2 linked regions of the Neodiprion lecontei genome follow. The protein of the gene in region 2 interacts with the protein of the main gene of each other region in a pairwise test. Links are inferred from orthologs where the notes say so. Each region holds a gene or a part of one and is shown on either strand. Other genes may lie near its edges. The genes, in order: 40S ribosomal protein S3-A and protein LTV1 homolog.

Region 1 (4,169 bases), on a different chromosome or scaffold from region 2:
GCTAAACATGTATGCAGTAACAAGATACACACCATCAGATAGTGTTAAAAAATTGTATAAAGATGGGGGTGTTGCTATTATAGATCAAATAATTTGTTCAAAAGCGAGGTAAGTTTCTATTATTTTTTACTGACCACAGAACTAATCAATGTTATTAATTATGTCTAGGTACTTCATAGGAACGCACGAATCGACGTTCACGTTCCGAATCCAAGAAGATAGGGAAATAATGGGTTTCCCATCAAAGATGACATTCAATGAATTGTGCGGAATTGAGAAATGCAAATCTAGAAGTTCATGGAAAATCTTATGGTGATGAGTCAAGATGGCGAAAATCAAAAATTCGAATTAAACACAATGCGCAACAATGTATCCAAGAAAAGATGCAGTAAAAAAAATATTCGGAAATAAAAATTCTCCTACCCATTCTGATAGTTTGTACCTTTTTCTACCAGTTGATAAAATTCAAGAGTAATAATTTATGCGTCGTTTACTCTCCAGTCCACTTTTACAGTTAGCAAAGATATTTCCAGGGAAGGATAATTGCGATTAACTGTGAGAGCAATTGATCTTTCAAAAAGTTTTAATTTTAAGATCTGCGGAATTATACAGGAATCGGTGCAACAGGGGGAGCATCCGGTTTGGCCACCTTAACATCGGAGGATGGATAAGTGGGAAGAGTTTCTTCCTTTGGCTCTACGACTGACACGTTGTCCGGCAGAGGTTTCTTGGGTCCAGTCTTACCGTTGGGGTCCCAAGGAAGCATAATTTTCACTTTAATTCCCAAAACACCTGTAACATAATAACACTTACAATTATCACGCAATATGTTCATACGCAGAAAAGTAGTCAAATATAATATTTTAAAACATTCGATAATCACGTCATTATTGTAAACTATTACTTCTGATATTCCTCAAACAGGAATGGCAAAATTGCACGTTTACCTTGTCTGAGGAGTACGTGTCGGGTTGCTGTGTCAACGTAGTCATTTGTTGGCTCTCCGGAGTGGATCATAAGTCCGTCGACGAATTTCATGGACTTTGCACGCTGTCCACGAAGTTTTCCGCTCACGACAACTTCACATCCTTTAGCACCAGACTCCATGATGAAACGAAGTACTCCATAACACGCACTTTATTGAAAAATAAATACTTGAAAGTATTGAATCTCCAATACACTACGTATAAATACTAGGATTAATATTATTTAAAATCTTTACCGTCTGACAGCCAGTCCTCCGATAAGTTTGTAACGTAGAGATTCGGCCTGGGCAATGGCGCAAAGACCACGAGTTGCTACCTTCTCAGCGTATAGTTCCACGCTGTGTTCCTTGAAATTGAACCTCTTCTGAACTACCGAAGTCAGCTCTCTTATCCGGCGTCCTTTCTCTCCTAGGACATTCTGGGTACGTGTAGCCATGATGATGATTTCAGTGCGCGTTGGGGTGACACGCACTTCAACACCCGAGTAACCATCCTCTGCAAGTTCACGAGTCAGAAACTCGTTGAGCTCAGCTTTGAAGACTCCGTCTCCAACAAACTGCAATGAAAAGTAAAATTAGTTCTGAACATAAGGCAGAGAAGAATTCACCTCATTTTCATGTGGAAATAACGAATCGAAAAATCGACAACTGGGGTATTTTGAAGGGCCAGGCTGTGTTTACGATTCAAACCTAACCTTAACCTAACCTACAAAAATCTGCGTGGCTATGGAATAATTAACCAGTAAAAATCGGAGTGCGATACGCCGTTGTCAAAAGAATGAGTGTCACAGAAATGCATCACAACTGTTTTGTTACTTTTGATGCACAAGTGACAGGAGCGGGATAACCGCTTTGGGGAGGAACAAGCGACAGCTAAAAGTATCCGAGCGATCCGATATTCAAACTTTGGCGATTCACAGGTTTAGCAGGAAAATATCGTGAGGAAATGTTTGCGTTTTACCGTGATTGCGATATTTGTTTGATAAACGCGGTAAAAGCTGTTAAAACTAACTAACCTTCCTCTTCTTCGAAATCGAACGGGCTGCCATAATCAGCGCTGTTACAAGAAAGGAGACGGAAAACTGAAGGGTCTTCCGACTGGAAACGGAAATGGGACTCGACCGCATAACTCGCATTCAAATCAGCGTCTTTTTTTAACCTATTCATACTGAAATGTGATGAGATGATTCGTGGCAGTAGAAAAATCATAAGCATGTAAAGATAATACAAATTATTCAAGTTATTGACGTACAAGTTTGGTTAAAAAATATTCTCATTAAATCATACAGTTGTTTTTCTGATCATTTGCGTACACGATTGCCACTATCAGGCGTGAATTCATTTCTACGCCTGACGACAGTCAGACAGATTTGCACGTGTAATTGCACTTTTGTCAGTCAGCAGGAGCGAAGGGACTGAAATGGATGAGCTGTGAAAGCTTCGTATGTGACTACATACCTATGCGTTTACAAATCATACAATGTATGCCGAGTGTGCGGGGTGCGTGTGCATCGTTGTAGCGCAACGATAAGGCATTCCGCATAAGAATAACAGAGAAGCTAGGTCAGGCCACAGTTGCGGTGGGGATTAATTCAGTAAAAGAATAGTCATTATAAGCAGGAGGCACCTCAGTAATTAGATAAAAATACATTTTCTCGCGAGGTATATTTAATTGCCGCTTGCACGTATACTCTGAATTGTTCATATAGGTTAGAATCAGGGTAGTGTACTTTGTTGATATACTACGGCTGTGTAAATTTGTTATGTAAAATTTGTCCTGCCAATTGTCATGGAGTGGAAAACGGTGATAACCACAATCGCGGTAGTGAGCCTGTGCTTCTTGGCAATACCGATCAAGATCGAGCCCGACAACACCGAAAGCGACCTAAAATTGTTCAAGACTTATGTTGAAAAATTTAAGAAATCTTATACACGATCACCTGCAGAGTACGAGGAAAGGTTTCGCAAGTTTCAGGTAGGTGGCGTTAACTGTCTACAATCCGATTACCTCCGGATTGATTTGATTCAAATCAGCGCCTTGTTAGATTTCGCGCCATATTCTGAAGCCAATTATCACACACGCTGTAACACATGCATACAGATTTGTGGGGCTTTCCACGGCCGCTTTATCTAAGTTAGTGACATTATCGGTACTTGACATTTTTGTTCACAAATATTTATATATAACGTATAACCTTTGCGATAAAGTTCATACGCATCGTATTTATGCTGCTACGGTCACAAGGCTGAGGCTTCTATGCGTCATAGTCTGAATGATATCACGAAAAATTATAATTAACGGACATTGTTACATTAGCGATTGCAATTGTTCTGTTTGAATAAAATTAGAGATCCCTTCGACATATCGAGGAGATGAACGCCAAGCGAACATCGAAAGAAAGTGCGAGATACGGGGTTACAGAATTTTCCGACTTGTCTGAGGACGAGTTTGCGAGCTCTTATTTACGCCCTGATTTGTCCTCGCGTGGAATGCGGCATCTCCATCACTCGCATCATCACTCGCACCGACACAATCGGTATGATACTAAAGATGGTCGAGCCGACAGCAGTGAGAAGAACAGATTGCGGAGATCTACTACCGGGTTACCGGTAAAATTCGACTGGAGAGAAACGGGATTCGTAACTCCAGTTCGAAACCAAATGAACTGCGGTGCTTGCTGGGCATTCAGCACTGTCGAAGTCGCCGAAACGATGTTTGCGATTAATAATGGCACGTTGCACACGCTTAGTGTTCAAGAGGTATAAAATGCAACAAGTTGGACTGAAATATAGCAACACAATGTACACGAGAAACTGATTACATTGATGCGTGGTTTTTATTATCAGATGATTGATTGCGCTGGAAACAGTAACTTCGGTTGTAACGGCGGTGATATTTGCAGTCTGTTGATGTGGTTGACGGTAACGCAGGTTAAAATCAAGGCGGAAACCGCGTACCCGATGACGTGGAGAACGGACAGCTGCCAATTGAAAAAGTATAAAATGACCATGGCGATGTATTAATTGAAATAAATGATCCCTCTCTGTAATCTCATTATTAATCTCTTTATTCAGGGAAGATTTGTCATCCGCGGGCACATTTGGCGTGCAGATTATAGATTTCACATGCGACAAGTACGTATACTCCTGAACCGCATGCAACCCGATTACTCAGTCGAAACTC
Region 2 (5,484 bases):
ACTAGGAAGTTGCGCATGTTGCGCCTCTTCGCCGTGCACTCGATTACGGGGGCGCCACCGTCGACCTCGTGGACATCACGTGGCCACTGCCTTCTTGAGCATATTATCGTTCGAAACTTTGAATTGGAAATTCGCATTGAAGTTGGTTGCGTTATCGTACTAATCGTAATTATTCATGCTGAGAATAAACCGTTATTTCGCAATTTTGGATTTGCCTGAAATTTAGGAAACCGTAATAAAACAAAACACACTCAGATTTCGAAATCTTAGCAGCTTCAAAGTTATTGTAAAATTAGGAAAATAGTAATTTTTCACCCAATGTTTCGTTACGATAACGTTACTATAACTTCAACCCCGTATTGGAAAACTTGGAAAATGTGAAACTCCGTTAATACCGTAAATAAGAACCAACCTAATATACACAAACACAATGAATTGACAATGTTTAACTGATCTAACTCTACAATGGTGGGGAAAGAAGACAATAGTCGATAATTCCTATGTAGAAATAAATGTATCATTATATTAAATATTATTCAAATTTTCACAATATGACTTTATAAATTCACAGTACTCTATTGCCTTGGACGTTGTTTCTGTTGTTGAGCATAATTTTTTCTTGTCTCTTCTTTTCTTCTTTGAACGCTTCTATGTTAGCCTTGCGCTCCAATCTTCTTTCCTGATGAAACAAATAAGATTTGTGTAAATATAAAGTTGAATCGATTCAGTGAATTCCAGTGCCATGATATTTTATACGCGAACTTCATACAGTTCTAATCACTATGCGATATACCTTTCGGTACTCTTTGAGAGCTTTTTTTCGTTCTTTCCTGTCCTCGGGGGATTCGTCTTTTGGCCTTATACTCAGGACACTCAAAGTGGATTTCATGGTTTCTGCTACCGATCGTGGACCTGCGTTTGCTTGGCTGTCATTCTCCAAGTTAAATTTAGCCAACGTTTTCGCTGTCAACGTTCCATTAGACGAATTCAGGACATCTTGTGGAATCCCAGTACGTGGATTAATTTTTATTTTCCCAGGACCCTGAAATACATCGACTGAGTATTTTACATAATTATCCAAACCCCAGCCTTCTACCCTTGTACTAGTGAATTAAATCTCCGAAACAATAAAAACGAATAACACACTTTGAACACGGGACCAATCTAACAATTTGAATTTTCATATGGATATCAAACAGAAATTGATAAAAATCTTGTGTCTAAATTCACCTTAGGCTCTGATATAAGTTTGGGGTGATTATAAATGTTGCTGTAGGTAGATAGAATACTTTCACAGTCCCATTTCTCCTTTTCTCTAGCATCAACTACAAGCTTTTCCAAATCATTTTCATCCTCAGAATTTGATTCTTCCAAGTTAATGACTCTCAGTCGCTCTGCCATCAACTTTGCAACATTCTCAGTCTGTGGAAGAATTCAGTAATCAAAAGTCAAGCAAATTAAAGAAAAAAAAAAGAAAAATAATCAAGGAATATTTTCTTGAACCCTCACATTTTCTTTTTTCTTCTTTTCAAATTCATCTGCATACTGCAAAAGAATATCAGAATCAGGAGCAACATGTCCTTCGATTTCCTCGCAATCAAGTGCTCCAATTTCAAGATCATCGTATCCAGTGTACATCTGTAAATGGAAAAATGTTAAACTGGAATATTTATGTACTCTGCTGTTGTGCCAATAAGATTCTTAACCAACTCACCTTTTCAAATCTATTATCAAGTAACGTTAATTGATCATTCCGTCGCATGACGCTGCTGCTCATTGAGTAGTCGGTAAACTGTGATTTTGTTTCAACATCTTCAAACGCGAATTCCCGTCCATTTAAACTCGGAACCTGATCTTTCTCCTCATCTGATAGCTGCATATGTCCTTCAGAAGAAACATCTGAATACTGTTCGTCGCTTTCATCGGATTCATAGCCTAAAGATAATTCGTTGTGTATGAGACCATGAGATGCAAATAAAATTTTATGACTGTGTGAATATATGAAAAATCATTTCACGTAGAACTATGTCAACAATTTCATGCTGCTCACCATCTTCATCGTGTTCGTCAAACTCAATGTCGCTGCCTTCCGCATTAGCTAATTCAAAGAAATTATCTTCCAACTGATTATCAGGATCTTCAAAATCAAAATCTTCATCCATTGCAGCCACAATTTCAGGATCCACATCTAATCTCAATCCGGAGACCGGTGCTGCTTTATTAAGAAGACCAACATCTTCTTCAACATCAGATGCAAACACGGAAGATGGTAGGTTAATTTTGGGCTCAGTGCGGTCTGCATTTTTCTCTCTCCTGCTTTTCTGAGGGTCTTCAACCGGTTCCCATTCAACAGAGATTTGGTTTGAATCTCGCATATGTTGCAAGTAGTCATAATCATCATCAAAAAATATTCCGTACTTTTGCTGTTCCTCTTTACGCTTCGCGATATCTGTTTCCTTCTTCTCAGACTTGGTAGCCTGCGTCTTTCCGAGAGGTACTAATACTCGCTGAGGAGCGGTCTCGTCAGCAGCTAACGGATCTTGTTGAGAACGATGAACCAGGTGAAATGTCACCGCGTTCTTTTTGTCAATAAATTTCCTCCCTTTTCCCTTAGGCTGTAAACAATGTACAAAGTCTTGTTTTTTGAGTATTATTCTTTCATTACATAGGTAATTCGATATTAAACAGAGACAAAATTCAAAGCAGACTTCGATCACTTTCACAAATAAAAAAAATTCAGTTTGCAAGAATTTACGTTGAGTTTACAGATTTTACGAAAGTCCTAGCAGACGCTTTTAACTTAACCTAAAAATGCATCTTTTTCAACCGTGTAGGATTAAGGAGATGCGTTGAACTTATAGATTTTACGAAAATCCTACCAGTCACCTTTAACTCAACCTAAAAATGCATCTTTTTCAACCGTGTAGGATTAAAGAAATACGTTGAGCTTACAGATTTTAAGAAAGTCCTACAAGACGCCTTAAACTTAACCTAAAAATGCGTCTTTTTCAATCGCGTAGGATTAAGGAAATACGTACCATGATTAGGCGGACAACACTGACAGTCTTACAAGGGTTTATTTAATTCACTCAGCTATTATAAAAATCACAAAAGTCTTCCCCAATCTTGTTGAACTTTAACCAAATGCTAACTCCAAACAGTGAACATGTGTTAACTCCGTAGCAATGACCACTGAAATGCCGTGACACTGTCTTGCAACGAATGACCATTTTGACGCGACAGGGAATCAGGACCTTCTGATTGGCCATTGAATTTACGCTTGCGATTTAATGGTACGTTACTTCAACGTTTTGGAATGTTATTTAAAAATTAACTTTTCGAATCATTTGAATCGAGATTCCAATGTCAAAATGAACTATTTTTTCTTGTATTTTATACCAGATAAAACTCTTAATCGAGATTTTACAGTTATTAGTGGAATGAAGATTTTAAAACAATGTACACACATACATACGTGCATACATACATACCTGCACATAACAAGTTGGGTGTGAATTGTGTTCTTTTGAAACCATATCTAATATTTATCTATGCTGTATTTTCGTGAGCTTCGTATACAAAGTGCTTTTTGCGATAAAGTTTGTTGAACGGTTTACCCAATGTATAATTTGAATATTCAAATATGCATGCACTTCCATTATGCATGCAATTATTGAACAAAAAATAACAGGAAAAACAGAATAAAATATAAATAATTTTTAAAATATTTGTTGAGATAAATATTAAACGACATTATTATTATTATGCTTCTTATAAATGTTAAAATATAACTTTTTACATACTATATATGTATATCTGTTGTATAATCGGTAGATACATTACATTACATGCTACTATTTCAGTTACTATATGTAAAGGTACAAACGATAAAGAGAATAAAAATTTATTTTTTAGATGCCGTTGCATCACTGACCTCTTGGCATTTAATTTGATTTTTCTTTCCGTCATTATAAGTAAATATTCGTTATCATTACATGTGTTGCAAGATTCATCAGTATATAAAAATTTATACAATAATATCCTAGTAGAGACAATTTCTTATCACAGAGAATTTTTAGGGATTTTATGGAATATATCAGTTCATTACGAGTGAAATATTTGTCCTATAATGGCGAAGTTTCTCACAGCTGAAGCCATCTCTGAAACTTCCGGGTTCGGATGCATATGCAAAGCTGGATTTCCAACTGCTGTGACAGCAGCTGCGTGTGCATTCATTCTCTGCATACTTTCGACATAATTTTTGTTAGCATGACCCCCCAGAGAATTATTAGCGTTATTTAAATGGTGCGATGAAGAGAGCATAGGAATAATAGGAGCCATGACCGACGAGGTGTTGAGCCCAGTTGGCGACTGGGTATAATTTTGCGCATTTTGCTCAGAAACGGCTTGATAGTTGCTGTATTGAGCCTTGCATTTTTTTTCATGGACAAACAAGCTACCGGAGTGACTATAAGCAGTGCCACAGATTTTACAGGCGTACGGTTTCTCCCCAGTATGCGTAAATCTATGTTCCTTCAAGTACTTAAGTCGTCGAAACGATTTTCCACAAGTTTTACAGTGGTAATTAGCTTCTCCCGTGTGAGTTGTAATGTGCGCTTTCAGAGTGCAAGATTTTGCAAAGGCTGCACTGCAAAAATGGCACACAAAAGGTCGGTCTCCAGTGTGAGTTCTTTCATGATTAATGCAATTTGAATTGGATGTAAAACCACGTCCGCAATATTTGCACACATGCGGCTTATAGCCAGTGTGCGTCCGCATGTGGAACATGAGTCCTGTATTTTGACGAAAAGTTTTGCTGCAAATGTGACACAAAAATCGTTTGAAATTTGAGTCCTGCTGTTCCTTGGCACGCTCATGACTTCTCAAGTGTTTTTCTAGCTTTGATTCCTTTTCAAAGGACTTGTTACACTCATCGCAGCTGAATGGTTTCAACTTTTCATTCTTCTTGTCAATATTTTTCACCCTTTCAGCGCACTTACATTTATCCGCTTTGCAATTGTCACAAAAGTCTTCTCTGTTCTCATGCATGTTTGCCTTGTGCTTCTGCAATGATTTCTTGGTCACGTAAGATTTACCACAAATTTCACACGGGAACCCCTTTCCTTCGTTGTCGGAATCCAGTTCCTCTCTTATCCAACTGTTTATTAATTTTATTGCAGATTTGTCATCCGGCGGTTTTTGAGGCTCCAAGCATTCTTTGTCTTCATCATGCCCATACCTGTTTCTGTGGCTTTTCAATCTGTCTGGCCTAAAGAATTTCATGTTGCAAACATTGCAAACAAATTTCTTCTCGTCGTGTATCAACATGTGTCTCTGTAGAGATTTTTTTGTAGAATAACACTTGGTGCAGTGTTTACATCTATAAAAAGCTAGATTATTAAAAGAATCCGTCTCGCTTTCGCTCTGCGAATCCGAGTTCAGCGAGTCTGGGTTATAGTCTTGATTATCATTTGACATTTGCAG

What was found.
Region 1: the proteins of protein LTV1 homolog (region 2) and 40S ribosomal protein S3-A interact in a two-hybrid assay, tested with the Caenorhabditis elegans proteins (2 studies listed by BioGRID). The link is inferred for Neodiprion lecontei from reciprocal best matches to the Caenorhabditis elegans genes T23D8.3 and rps-3.

Annotation. Positions count from the first base shown.
Region 1 is NC_060263.1:16,542,984-16,547,152, reverse strand, and holds 40S ribosomal protein S3-A, read right to left. Parts: upstream 2,103-4,169; 5' UTR 2,035-2,102; coding exon 2,002-2,034; intron 1,543-2,001; coding exon 1,223-1,542; intron 1,136-1,222; coding exon 948-1,135; intron 793-947; coding exon 605-792; 3' UTR 566-604; downstream 1-565. Other genes in the region: GDP-fucose protein O-fucosyltransferase 2, read left to right, coding at 1-108, 169-316; cathepsin O-like, read left to right, coding at 2,775-2,960, 3,335-3,745, 3,833-3,981, 4,061-4,120.
Region 2 is NC_060262.1:40,655,289-40,660,772, forward strand, and holds protein LTV1 homolog, read right to left. Parts: upstream 3,215-5,484; 5' UTR 3,042-3,214; coding exon 3,039-3,041; intron 2,616-3,038; coding exon 2,051-2,615; intron 1,936-2,050; coding exon 1,715-1,935; intron 1,639-1,714; coding exon 1,510-1,638; intron 1,423-1,509; coding exon 1,231-1,422; intron 1,043-1,230; coding exon 794-1,042; intron 680-793; coding exon 566-679; 3' UTR 501-565; downstream 1-500. Other genes in the region: zinc finger protein 420-like, read right to left, coding at 4,105-5,484.